Linked DNA regions of Oryzias latipes. The protein of the gene in region 1 purifies or fractionates together with the protein of each later gene. This does not show direct contact. Links are inferred from orthologs where the notes say so. Each region holds a gene or a part of one and is shown on either strand. Other genes may lie near its edges. The genes, in order: protein argonaute-1, tarbp2 and tnrc6a.

The links.
Region 2: the proteins of protein argonaute-1 (region 1) and tarbp2 purify together in Homo sapiens (co-immunoprecipitation; 4 studies listed by BioGRID and IntAct, with this or other methods). This does not show direct contact. The link is inferred for Oryzias latipes from reciprocal best matches to the Homo sapiens genes AGO1 and TARBP2.
Region 3: the proteins of protein argonaute-1 (region 1) and tnrc6a purify together in Homo sapiens (affinity purification with mass spectrometry; 10 studies listed by BioGRID and IntAct, with this or other methods). This does not show direct contact. The link is inferred for Oryzias latipes from reciprocal best matches to the Homo sapiens genes AGO1 and TNRC6A.

The regions. Positions count from the first base shown.
Region 1 is NC_019874.2:24,557,756-24,561,406, reverse strand, and holds part of protein argonaute-1, read right to left. Parts: coding exon 3,642-3,651; intron 3,476-3,641; coding exon 3,316-3,475; intron 2,989-3,315; coding exon 2,898-2,988; intron 1,369-2,897; coding exon 1,174-1,368; intron 1,036-1,173; coding exon 901-1,035; intron 816-900; coding exon 714-815; intron 653-713; exon of another isoform or gene 642-652; coding exon 442-641; intron 234-441; exon of another isoform or gene 168-233; intron 1-167.
Region 2 is NC_019863.2:10,469,075-10,473,183, reverse strand, and holds the start of tarbp2 (RISC-loading complex subunit TARBP2), read left to right. Parts: upstream 1-1,193; 5' UTR 1,194-1,383; coding exon 1,384-1,436; intron 1,437-3,061; coding exon 3,062-3,376; intron 3,377-3,578; coding exon 3,579-3,648; intron 3,649-3,727; coding exon 3,728-3,845; intron 3,846-4,109. UniProt on the Homo sapiens protein: Required for formation of the RNA induced silencing complex (RISC). Component of the RISC loading complex (RLC), also known as the micro-RNA (miRNA) loading complex (miRLC), which is composed of DICER1, AGO2 and TARBP2.
Region 3 is NC_019866.2:17,690,684-17,695,076, forward strand, and holds the start of tnrc6a (trinucleotide repeat-containing gene 6A protein), read left to right. Parts: upstream 1-1,526; 5' UTR 1,527-1,735; intron 1,736-3,086; exon of another isoform or gene 3,087-3,138; intron 3,139-4,393.

The DNA.
Region 1 (3,651 bases):
ATTTAAAGACTCACTGATGAAAATTGTGTTTTTGGGGAGTTTTTAACATGTCCTTGAGGCATTTTTCTGATGCTGGAGGACATATTTTGAGAAGATTTGGCACAAAATTGCATTTCTGAGTATTCTATCCATTTTCTTAACCCTCTATATTCCTTTCGGGGTCACAGGGTTGCTGGAGCCTGACCCGGCTACTGCAGTGAGAAGGCGGGGCACACCCTGGACAGTCTGTTGCAGTGAGTATTTCCTTTTTTCAAATCGTTGTGAATCAAGAGCAGACGAAAAATGCTGTTTAAAAACTGGCTTCTTTGTGAAATAAAAAATACGATGGGCGCGGCACAAGCTCTCTGCTCCAAGCTCTTAGTAAGGGGGAGAACTACAGCCACTCTGAAAACGACAGTTTTTTTTTTTATTTTGGCCAAAAATGACCTGAAACCTACTGACCTGTCGTGTTCTTTGTCTACCAGATGGTAGCGGGCACGGAAGGCCACAAGACGAGCGTAGTAGGCTGGTGCCGGGATGGAGACCGAGCGGGTACAGCGCACATAGGTGTGGCACAACTGGTAGGTTAGAATCTGCAGCTCATCAGCGGTGAAACGATTGTCGTCCCATAAGACGTAGTAATGAGACGGCCGGCTGGTGCCCTGGCAAAGAAAATGGTTTGCATTAGCAGGGGGGGCTGGGGTCAAAGGTTGACGCGTTAGTGAGTTGATTACCTGGATGCCTGCATGGCTACATAAATAGAAGTCAAACTCAAAGGGATGAGTGATGCTGGTGTCCACTGTAGTCCCTGCAGGAATATTGCCACTCTTACCAATCTGGAAAAGAAAAGGAGACAAATATAAATACAGACATGTAATAAAGACATTTCAGGAGGGATTGAAACAACAGTGGAGCACTCACCCTCTCAGATTTGTCGGCACAGAAGAGGCGTGTGTGGTGGCGTTTTTGTACCACGATGTACGTGATACCAGGCTGGTAGTCTTTCTCCAACTTTATGCATGCATCTCTGATGGCCAGAAGCTCATAGTGGAGAATCTACATAACCAAAAATAATAATACTTTATTTCTAAGGCATATATAAAAAATAATATATAATAAATTAAGAAAAAGGCCCCTTAAATAAACATTTTACTTTGGAAAGTTCACAGCAGTGCGTTTCTTTGAGTCTCTTACTTGTGGCAGTTGACCTTCAGGAACACCATCCCTGTAGAAAATGATCCTGGTGGGCTTGAATCGGGTCGACTTGTAGAACTGAATTAACAGTTCGCGCACCATGTAAGATAAATCTTCGATGATTTCCTGCCTGGGTCTCTGGACCCGCACTGTGGCACAGTACCGGCTGGGGTGGGCATCCATACTGCCCACCACCTGAAAGAGGGGGAGCAGCAGAGATGTTGGAAAAAAAATTACACTAAAGACACTAATTGGGCTGCACTGTGGCGCAGTGTTTAGCGCTCTTGCCTCACAGCAAGAAGGCCCCTGGTTCAAGTCCCGGCTGGGGGACCTGAAACCAAACATCAACACCTTTCTGTGTGGAGTTTGCATGTTCTCCCCGTGCATGCGGCTTCCTCCCACTGTCCAAAAACATGCTTCATAGGTCAAGTGGCAACTCTAAATTGTCCCTAGGTGTGAGTGTGAGAGTGAATGGGTGTGTGATTGTGTGAATGGGTGTGTGATTGTGGCCCTGCGACAGACTGGCGAACAGTCCTAGTAGCCAGGATAGGCAGGATAGGCTCTGGCAGCCTCGTGACCCCGAAAGGATAAAACGGTAGAAAATGAATGAATAAAGACACTTAATTGTCTTTAAATACACTAATTGACATAGTAATAGCTCTTCATATACGTAAAAACCTTTGTTCTGAAACTACAAAAAAAAATCAAAGTTAACACTGGAAAATGGCCTATACAACATCCTTCCTTTGTTGCATCGTTGTACTTTCAGTCTTTTTTGTCTGTGTGTACTTTTGTGAACATCCCTTAAGTGCTGCTACTGGAGAAATGCGTAGGCTCGACGTTATTCTTTATCACCTATTTTCTCCTGTGTAAGGATGCTTCTGGCTTACCTATTCTCCTCCAATCCTCTCTGTGTGACTCAATCATTCGACATAATCGCTAGGCAACCACACAGCCAACCACAGCTGAGGTGAGGTAAAGGGAGAACGGTAGCTGCCGTCACTTCCTGTCTAAACAGTCGGTGATGAGGCATCCGTGTCTCTCGTAAAGCTCCTCCTTTATTACCTTTTTCCCTTTGTTCGTGCTCATGTGTGGTGTGACGAGGCTAAACTGAAAGTCCAGTAGAATGTGTGCTTATTGAAGCTTAGAGGTGAAGGTTGAGTGAACAGAGTATTTATGATCACAAAATAAGATTTTTTCTAGGTAATGACAAACCTAAACATGTGTATTTATTGTGCTTGAATGATTTATTTAATTAAGATAGAAATTATAACATCTATTTGTGAGGGTTCACGTTGTAAAACGGAAAACATTTCCAGCTAAACTAAGATTAATTTTGTCTATGAAAATGACTAAATTATTTAAATGTGTAATCCAATTAAAAATGGTAAAATTGTGTAAACCTGACTTTCTGGGAGAGATGCTTTAATGGTGGAAATGGCATTCAACTCGTCTTGTAAAGTGCAACTAAAAACAAAATGTAATGTATTCAAACTGCAGCCTATCCTCGATAACTTATTGGTTTATCTCCCTACTGAAAGAATTGGAGATTAAATTCTAGGACATTTCCATTTTCCCTGTAAGGCAGAAGTAAATGAGTACTGAGTTCATCCTAGTTAAAGTCAGAAGCACTTCTGAAAACACAGGTTTTACCCAGATGTTAAGATTAGACCAGTCCAAGTCTTATCCATAACTTTTTCAAATTCATGATTTTAGAGACTCACTGCAGTAATTGAGGGCTTCTTGCCATCTCCAGCTGGGGGGTGGGTGACATCTGCTCCCAGGAAGATAACAGGCTGCTGAAACACTGCTGAACTGAGGGGGCACATGGAAGAGAACTGGGAAATTATACTTCCTCAAGTAGCACAGGATTTCAATGAGTAATATTATGACAATACAGAAATGACATCAAATGTTTTTAACACAAGTTTTAAAAAAAAAACTTTAATGAGGCTTTGTAAAAAAAAAAAAAAAAAAAAAAAGTTTTAGACCTTTTCCACCCACGCATGGCTGCAAAAGGGCAAAAATGGGTCATAAAAATGAAATTAATAACATCAGAACGATCAAAGGAAGACCGTCTGCAATGGTTGTCTAGCAGTTATTCAGAGAACACATTTCAATGTCGCTTTAGAAAAAGCTCACCGCTGATGAGGCACCAGAATGTTGTTTATGCCTCCCAGCTTCACATTGATCTTGAGGCAGAGGTTGGAGAGGGTCTGAGGTGACGTCTTCACCACGTTCTTCACCTGAACACACTGGGTGGCCATGCCAAGAAGAGTGTCTCCCACACGCTTTACTTCAGCTATTTAAAAAAAAAGGTGAAATAAAATATGGAAAAGTTACAACAGTTGATTGCTACACCTCAAATTCCAAAGTAAATAGGATTGCCTGGAAAACCTTTAGAATTGTTCATCCCTTTGATCCAAAGTAATAAATACAATAAAGCAAAAAGCAAAGCAGAGAAATACCGTAGACTGG
Region 2 (4,109 bases), on another chromosome or scaffold:
CATTTATAGTTTTTAACTCTTGTGCTATCTTGTGGGGTCAAAATGACCCCACCCTTACATTGATGTGTTATTCCTACCATGACAAAGGTGGATAAAGGTGAAGAGGATTTCATGGAATCCATGGACACCACTGAAAATCACAAATCATTGAAGAAAAAAGGTTCAGCGCACTGTCTAGTGGGTTCAGATGACCCAACTCCCAATGTTACTGTGCCTAGGATAGCACAAGGGTTACACATTTTAAATAATAGATTTATAGTTGTGTTATATTTCTATTGTATTACTTTTGGGATAGCACATGCAAATTCTTTGCAAAATAAAATAAATCCTGTCAAATAAGATCCTGCTATAGTAGATATACAATTTTTATTTTGAGAACTTTGTATCTGAAAAGCAACTAGATAGGTAGGAATATGAGTTAAAACTTATTCTTATAATACCGGTAATTATTTTAATTAGTATTATAATCTGTTTTAATATTTATAATTTAAATTATTACAAAAATGAATGCATTTTGGAGGAACGGTAAAGCTTTCAATGCCTCTTGATTTAGAGTAAGGTAGGTAAGTAGAGTAGTAAGGGGAAAAAAGAGTTCATTTTTAACTATGGTAAAATTTCTTCAGTTTAAAAATCTAAGAGTAAATAAAAACATAACTAACAAACCTATTATTTGTTCAAAACGTTTGCATTTTCCTTCAAAACTGCAGAGCTAATAATGGAGGGCCGCATGTGGCTCCAGAGCTCTGGACCCCCGGCTCTAACAAAATCAGTTTCAAAAATAAGTTAACAAAATTTTAAATTGTTTTAACTGCTAAATGGCTTATTTGAGTTGTGTAATATATCAACTTATTTCCATTTTCATGGAATAGACTTGCCAAAAATATTAACTTGATTTTTGTAGAAACATTTCTACTTGTTTATGTTTCTTCAAATAATGGCCTTTAATTTTTAGTTCAATCTGACTACAATTACAAATCATTGTATTCATTTTATACACATCATATCATGTCATTCATTGATTACCCATATTACCCATAATAATTGCATCTTAAACATTTATTTAAGTTGTGTTATGCCCTTTGTACTTTTGTAATGTTACATGTTCATGTTGTATTAATTCAAGACATATTTGGTACTAGGAAAAGCCCGCGCTTCTTTCGGCCAATCACGATTTGTGTGTGCTACAGGATGCTATTACGTCATATTTGTGCGCCGAACGCTGTCGCTATGGAGGGGGTTTACTTCGTTTTTCTTTCAAATACTGTAGCCTTAAAATGGGATTAGAACTCAAACGAACACTCGTGTCTAATGAATGCTAGATAAGCTTTTGGTAGAAGGATTTTCCATCCGCAATAGTTCAGCTCTATCTGCGTGAAATAGGGAATGAACGACGATACAGCATCGGACAGCTGGAAGAGAAACTCCGGGTGCTCCAGGTGAGTCCAAAGCTAAGCTAACTCAAATCTTGTCTTTGCTGGCAATTCCTAGCAATGAGCAATTCTTAGTTTTTAATGCAGCTAAACATTTTTGAGGCCTGAGTTCACGATGATCCAAGCCTGCAGCAGCACAGTATTTTTTATTTAATGTTTATCTTTCAGTCAGAAGCCTGCATAGAGAAATATGTATACACGGGTGTCATGCAGACTTTCTTTTGATAGGAGATGCTGGTGTCTCTAAGTGATGGACAAATGTACACCACGTGAAGACACTAGGCCATCCCAACATGCCCTTCCTCCTCCTTTTCACACCCATGTTAACCTGCCTTGTTTTGAAAGTTTATGTAATTTGTTTTACTCAGATATTGGGTGACACCAGTTAAACAGACGTTTTGTCTGTAAAGCGTTGGAAACTGAACCATGCACAAGAACTTCTGAAATTAATAGTGACCTCCCTCCTTATGATGACTGAACTCTTCTTTCACCTCCAGCTTTCAATCAGAGGAACGGGCTTTGCTCATTTCAGGATCCTGAGAATCGGCGAACCCATGTTGTAGATTCTCTATAATCCTGTCACAAAGCTGCTTTTATTCTTTGTAATAATTTAATTGCATAGCATTCTACATCTTTGTGTGTTATACTGGCCAAAATGCTAGTTCAAGTAGTTAATTTAAACAGTTTTTTTTAATCAAAAACCAGTCACTGAAAAATGACTTGTTTACTGTCATTTGAAACTAAGAGAACCATTTCAAGGACAGTTTATGTACTTTAAGCATTTTATAGCTTAGTGTTTCTGGGGAAGTTCTGGTTAATAATAATTTGACTGTAATATTTGTTTTATTTAACCTCTTAAAGATTTACTCCAGTCATCTTTTTATCTATTGTAAAAGCATTCCCAGCTGTCTTTTTATTCTGATTTTGCCATTTTTGGCCTAAATTATAAAGCTTGTCCTTTTTTTTGGACATAGTTTCTGCAGAGTGGCAGGGGTTTATCAGAAATGTGGCAAGGCAAGTTTATTTGTATAGCACAATTCGTACACAAAGTAATTCAAGGTGCTTCACAAAACAGAAAAATGCATTAAAATCACAATACATCATAGAAATAATCAACGTAATATTTACTTTAAAAGAAAGGGAAAAAAATGTGCCTGTTATAGGCAGGACTGTTGGCACAGAGTAAGCCCGCCCCTTCTTCTTGACATTCCTCTGTTTCTCACACCCCCAACCTAACATTAATGGTGCAACAAAAATGACGAGCAATATCTGAGCTATCCAGCCGTACAGTTTTAAGGCCATATTCCATCTCAGACGAGGAAAACAAAGACATACATGGATCTTGTCGTCTACAAGTGGATGCATCAGAATGGAGTGGAGCAGGGAGCTTGTGGCCTACCATAGTACCTTCCACTTCCCATCTACAAGCTTTTTCCGACTGCATTTTTGCCTGATTCACAGCATATATATCCTCCATCATCAGAAAAATGCCACAAGAGCATGCTTAAAAAACACTATTTTCATCTGAATAGTTCTTTAAACTCTTTTTAAATCGAACAGCATCGTCTACACAGAGCATATCAAGGTTTTTTTTAATTAAAACTGTTGTTTTTTTTCCCCTCCTCATCTAGTATTGAGCAAATGCTGGCTGTGAATCCCGGAAAGACGCCCATCAGTCTGCTGCAGGAGTATGGAACGCGGATAGGCAAAACCCCAGTGTATGACCTGCTGAAGGCAGAGGGACAGGCCCACCAGCCCAACTTCACATTCCGCGTCTCCGTGGGAGAGATCAGCTGCACCGGCCAAGGGCCCAGCAAAAAGGCGGCTAAGCACAAGGCAGCTGAGGCTGCTCTGAAGATGCTGAAAGGAAGCCTGGAAGGTCCCGCTGGTGTCGTTGTCGGAGTGGACGAGTTTGTTGGTGTGGATGTGTTGGTTGATGAAGACGGGTAAGGATACAACTTAATATTTAAGTTTCCCTTTTTGTTGTTTTTCTTTTTTTTTTTTTTTTTTAATACAAAAGGTCAATTAATGTTTCTTTTTATGCCTCACATTGTTGAGTCTCCATATAATTCCCAGGTAGACTCTGTTGAGATGATTGAGATTCAGACCTGTTTGACACGTCCTGTCTACTTTTTCACCTTCATGCAGACCCCAGTCAGAGATGAAAACTACAAACACTTCCCAGCAGTCTGAATGTAATCCTGTCGGGGCTCTTCAGGTAAATGAACACAAAAAAACTTCAACAAAATTCTGTCTTTGAGTTTTTAATCATTGAATTTGTTTTTTCCTCATGTTAGGAGTTGGTGGTACAGAAAGGATGGCGTTTGCCAGAGTACACAGTCACCCAGGAGTCTGGTCCAGCCCATCGCAAAGAATTTACGATGACCTGCAGAGTTGAAAGATTTGTCGAAATTGGTATAAGTCTCAATGTGGAGATATTGTTTCTACTTCAAGTTCTTACTTTATTTTAAACCAAACTGCCCTGCTTTTCTATTTGATTATTTTTGAAACTTTAGTTTGTACTCATGTTATAAAACTGTCATTTTTTTATTTCTTATTTTAGCATCGGAATGTCATGAAACAGCACAGAACTGAGGTTGATATATTTCAAATAGATACTAAGGGGGCTCCTATTTTAGATCCTAATTTCTGTAATGCAGGTTTTTGCAGATCATGTCG
Region 3 (4,393 bases), on another chromosome or scaffold:
GATCTACCACACCAGACAAGACCCAAGGTGTAGGCTGTGTAAAGAGGCACCTGAAACAATTCAGCACATAACTGCAGGGTGTAAGATGCTTGCAGGGAAAGCATACATGGAGCGCCACAATCAAGTGGCTGGAATAATATACAGGAACATGTGTGCAGAATATGGACTGGAAACCCCAAGGTCAAAATGGGAAACACCTCTGAAGGTGGTAGAGAATGAGAGGGCAAAGATCCTGTGGGACTTCCAGATCCAGACTGATAAGGATGGTAATGGCGAACCAACCAGACATTGTAGTGGTGGATAAAGAACAGAGGAAAGCCATTGTGGTGGATGTGGCAGTGCCAAGCGATGGGAACATCAGGAAGAAGGAACATGAGAAACTGAAGAAATACCAGGGACTCAGAAGAACTGGAGAAAGCATGGAAAGTGAAGGTGACAGTGGTGCCTGTGGTAATTGGAACACTCAGGGCAGTAACCCCCAAGCTGGAGGAGTGGCTGCAACAGATCCCTGAAAAGACCTCAAACCTCTCAGTCCAGAAAAGCGCAGTGCTAGGAACAGCCAAGATACTGCACAGGACCTTCAAGCTCCCAGGCCTCTGGAAGAGGACCCGAGCTTGGAGGAGAAACCACCTGCGGAAGGGTTAGAGGGGCATTTGTTTTTAGTTTTATAGACATATATAAATATATGTATGTATATATATATATAGATAGAGAGAGAGAGAGAGAGAAAGAAAGAGAGAGAGAGAGAGAGAGAGAGAGAGAGAGATAGATAGATAGATAGATAGATAGATAGATAGATAGATAGATAGATAGATAGATAGATAGACAATATATATATATATATATATATATATATATATATATATATATATATATATATATATATATATATATATATATATATATATATATATATATATATATATATATATGTATATGTATATGTATAATTTATTTATTACTATTATTTATTAGTATTTTATTAGTATTTGTATTTATAAGTATTTTTACCTTGTCAATAGTTTTCTAGTTTTGTCCATTTTCAGTTGATTTTACAAATTTATTAAAGGAAAGTTCCTTGTCTTGTTCATCCACAAGTTAAAGTATTTTGCTTTAAATGTGTAATTTCATACACAAAATGTGCATTTATTTGTCACAATTGTCGTACTTGCCATCAAACTTTAACTATGTAGAAATACCAAAGTATGTTTTAGATGGGGAGTGACACACTTTCAAAATTCTATAATTTGAGACAAATTTAAAACGGACAGCATTTCCTATGTGTTTCAAATCTTACATCAAATTTTTTTCTTAAATTTTAATAAATTTATAAATCGTCAAACAATATACTTTTGTTTATGTTTGTCTGATGAAAGCAGAATTTAATGCGACTGAATAGCTTTTCTATAATATATTGTTTTTCTTGTTTGTTTGTTTTTACAGCGTTTTGTCTTCTCAGTCAGAGGAAGTGGTTATGCGTTTCCGCCCCCGCCTCCTTCCCCCCTCTTAGAATCACACACGTACACAGCCTGAGCCAGTGTAAACCTTATTAATGTCTACGGAGTGAACGCAGAGAGGAGGGGAGCGTAGAGCACAAACGAAAGCGGCGAGCCAAGAAAATGGCGATCGTGCAGAGGATGAATGCCCCCACTCGTAGATGCTGCAAACGCATTGCATTTCTTTAGCCTTACTTAGTTTATTTTCCACTCTCTGTTGCACTTTATATTTCAATGAGGTAAGTTTTGTTTTAATTTTTATTTATTTTTTATTTATGTTCTTGTGTTAAGCTATGCAGGCAAGGAGCTGGAGGAAAGACCAGAGGTCGGTAGATAAGTTGACCAGCCGCTGTTGTTTAGTTAGCTATGACGGAGCTAATATTGTTAAGTACTACTATGCTATCCTTTCCTATCCTATCAGGTTGCGTTTAGAAAGGCGGTTTGGTTTTATAGTTTTGCTAAAGATGCAACTCTCGTTTGTTTTTTCCTAAACGCAAATGAAAAATAAAGCCATTTTAAATGTGTTAACAAGGCGGTTTAACCTTGTCCTTTCGCTTAACTATTCTAGATTGGTCGCTGTATGTTTGTAGCTAGGAAAATGCGTATTTTGTTAACTAATTGTCTTAAATGTATTTTTTTTTTACTTTGTCTAGACTATCATTGTTCTCTGTAAACAACTTACCAATATCGCTAAATTAGAGGAAAAATACCTCGTAGTTGCTATTAGCATTAGCTTAGCAACATGCTAATTTGACGACGCAGGTTCGTCGGTGGGAACAGGTAATACTGTGCACAAATTGCATTAAGAACACTGTTTTACTACTATCACTTCGCATATAAATTAAAAATGTCATGAATTAATTTCAAATCTATATTGAAATTAACCTGCGGAGTTGTTAGATAAAAGCCCCCTATGGTATAAAGCGGTACGACAGCAATACCCCTAAACCCCTAATCTGGTCTGGGTTTTTTTGTAGTCAAATCCACATTACTTTTCGTCCTGATCTTACAACACCGAGGTGGACATCAGAGTTTAGATGAATATGCATCGGTGGTAAATTTACTTATCACTCGAGGTTCTTAGATTTGATTGCAAACCTACAGCTGGAGAGAGAAGCCATGTTGGTTAAGCTGCAAGTCGGGCAACAGCTGAGATAATGGCCGTTCAGGACCCGACTTGTAACTTTGACCTACACAGACTCTCACTGTCCCCTGCTGTCACTTTACACGCACTTGGTTTCCCTTCACTTTGACGAGCTGTAAGAAACCTCTGTACCACGTTAAGGCAGTGTAAACGTGCATTTCACCACAGTTCACTTTGAGTGTATGTACTGAACTTGCATAATACTTCATGCTAGTGTCTATGCGTGCAGGATAATTTGGATGTTTGCCCTGAATGTGATTTTAGGAATGTTTCAAAGTTTGCAGGTCATATTACAAGTTAATGCCTCTGGGAACTTGTACTATGGTGTTCACTAGAATCATTTTCTTGCACAATCGGGTACTTTCTGCAGGAAAATGTTCTGGTTACACTTAACTTTATTCATTTATCTTTGGGAATAAACTATTTCCTTTCTCTTTTTGCTAAAGAGATTTGGAATTGGAAACTGTTGCCACCAAAGAAACTAAAGCGTCTTAACGGGTGAGTGAAACTCTTTTAAACCCAGGAAACTGTTGGTGATGCTGAAATGGTTTAATGCAGTTAATGATGATTGGTGACATATATAAACAAATTTATGTTCAAAACTGCATTTCTGACTTTTTCTTGACTAATGGTTAATCAGGAGCAGAGGGGGAAAATGCAGTTTGAAATGGATTGTATTTGTGATGTAGAAAAAACGTTGGCAAGCCATTCTTATGCAACCACTTGTAGACGACCAGATCCATGTCTGTCTTTGTTTTCCTCGTCTGAGCTGGCATCTGGGTCAACTGTACAGCTGGATAGCTTCAAATTTTGCTCGCCATTTTTGTTGCACCGCTAATGTTAGGTTGGGGTTGTAAGGGGCTGTAAACTTGTGGGAAAGCATGTAAACAGATGTATGATGGGAAGTGGGGGCGGACTTACTCCACACAAACAGTCCTGTCCACAACTCGGAGGTGAATTTCTAATGAACTGCTGCTGCTCTCACTGGTGTTTGATTTTGGCTAAAAATCATAATTAAATCATTATCATAATTAAAACATCACTGGATGCTTTTAAAATAGATCCAAAGATGATTTGAGTGGGTCTTTCTTTGGGGTGTTTTGTCACAAATGTTTAATAGGTTTAACCATACCCCATCTGATTTGTTGAATTATCAGTGTAAACCAAAGTGAAAGCAATACATTTTCTGAATCCCAGTATATGATGTCATGGCTGTCTGAGTGATGTTCTGTCAGCGTTGTGAGTTTGGGAAGCCGCTGGGAGGGGCGGGGGCTTGGGATGAGCTGCGCCTGCTTATGCTAGCACATGCAGTTCCGTTTGAATTGAATTGGGGGGTCTGGGTTGGTCAGGTCACATTGTGCTGAATTGTAGCCTTTCCCCCCATTTCTAAATGAGAAGCCAGCGTCCTGATGTGTTGTGCACAGGGAGGTGTTTGTACTGCTCATTGTGTTTAGACAATCATTGCACATGTAAGCACACAATAGGACTATGTCTCATGACTACTTTGTATACTCAAACGGTTCAGTTATGACCACTATTGCTGGTTTCAGTAACCAGTTATTTAGTGTTAGATCTGCTTGGTCAATTCTCTTATCTGGAGTAGGAAAATTACCCGAATTTTTATTTTGTGAAGAAAACAATCCTGTTAAGTCAACTCATGGTGTTTACCAATATACTCTATTATGGTGGTTTGCTTTTATTTTCCTGGAACTTATGTTGCTGCTTAAAATGCACTATATTACCCAAAGTATTC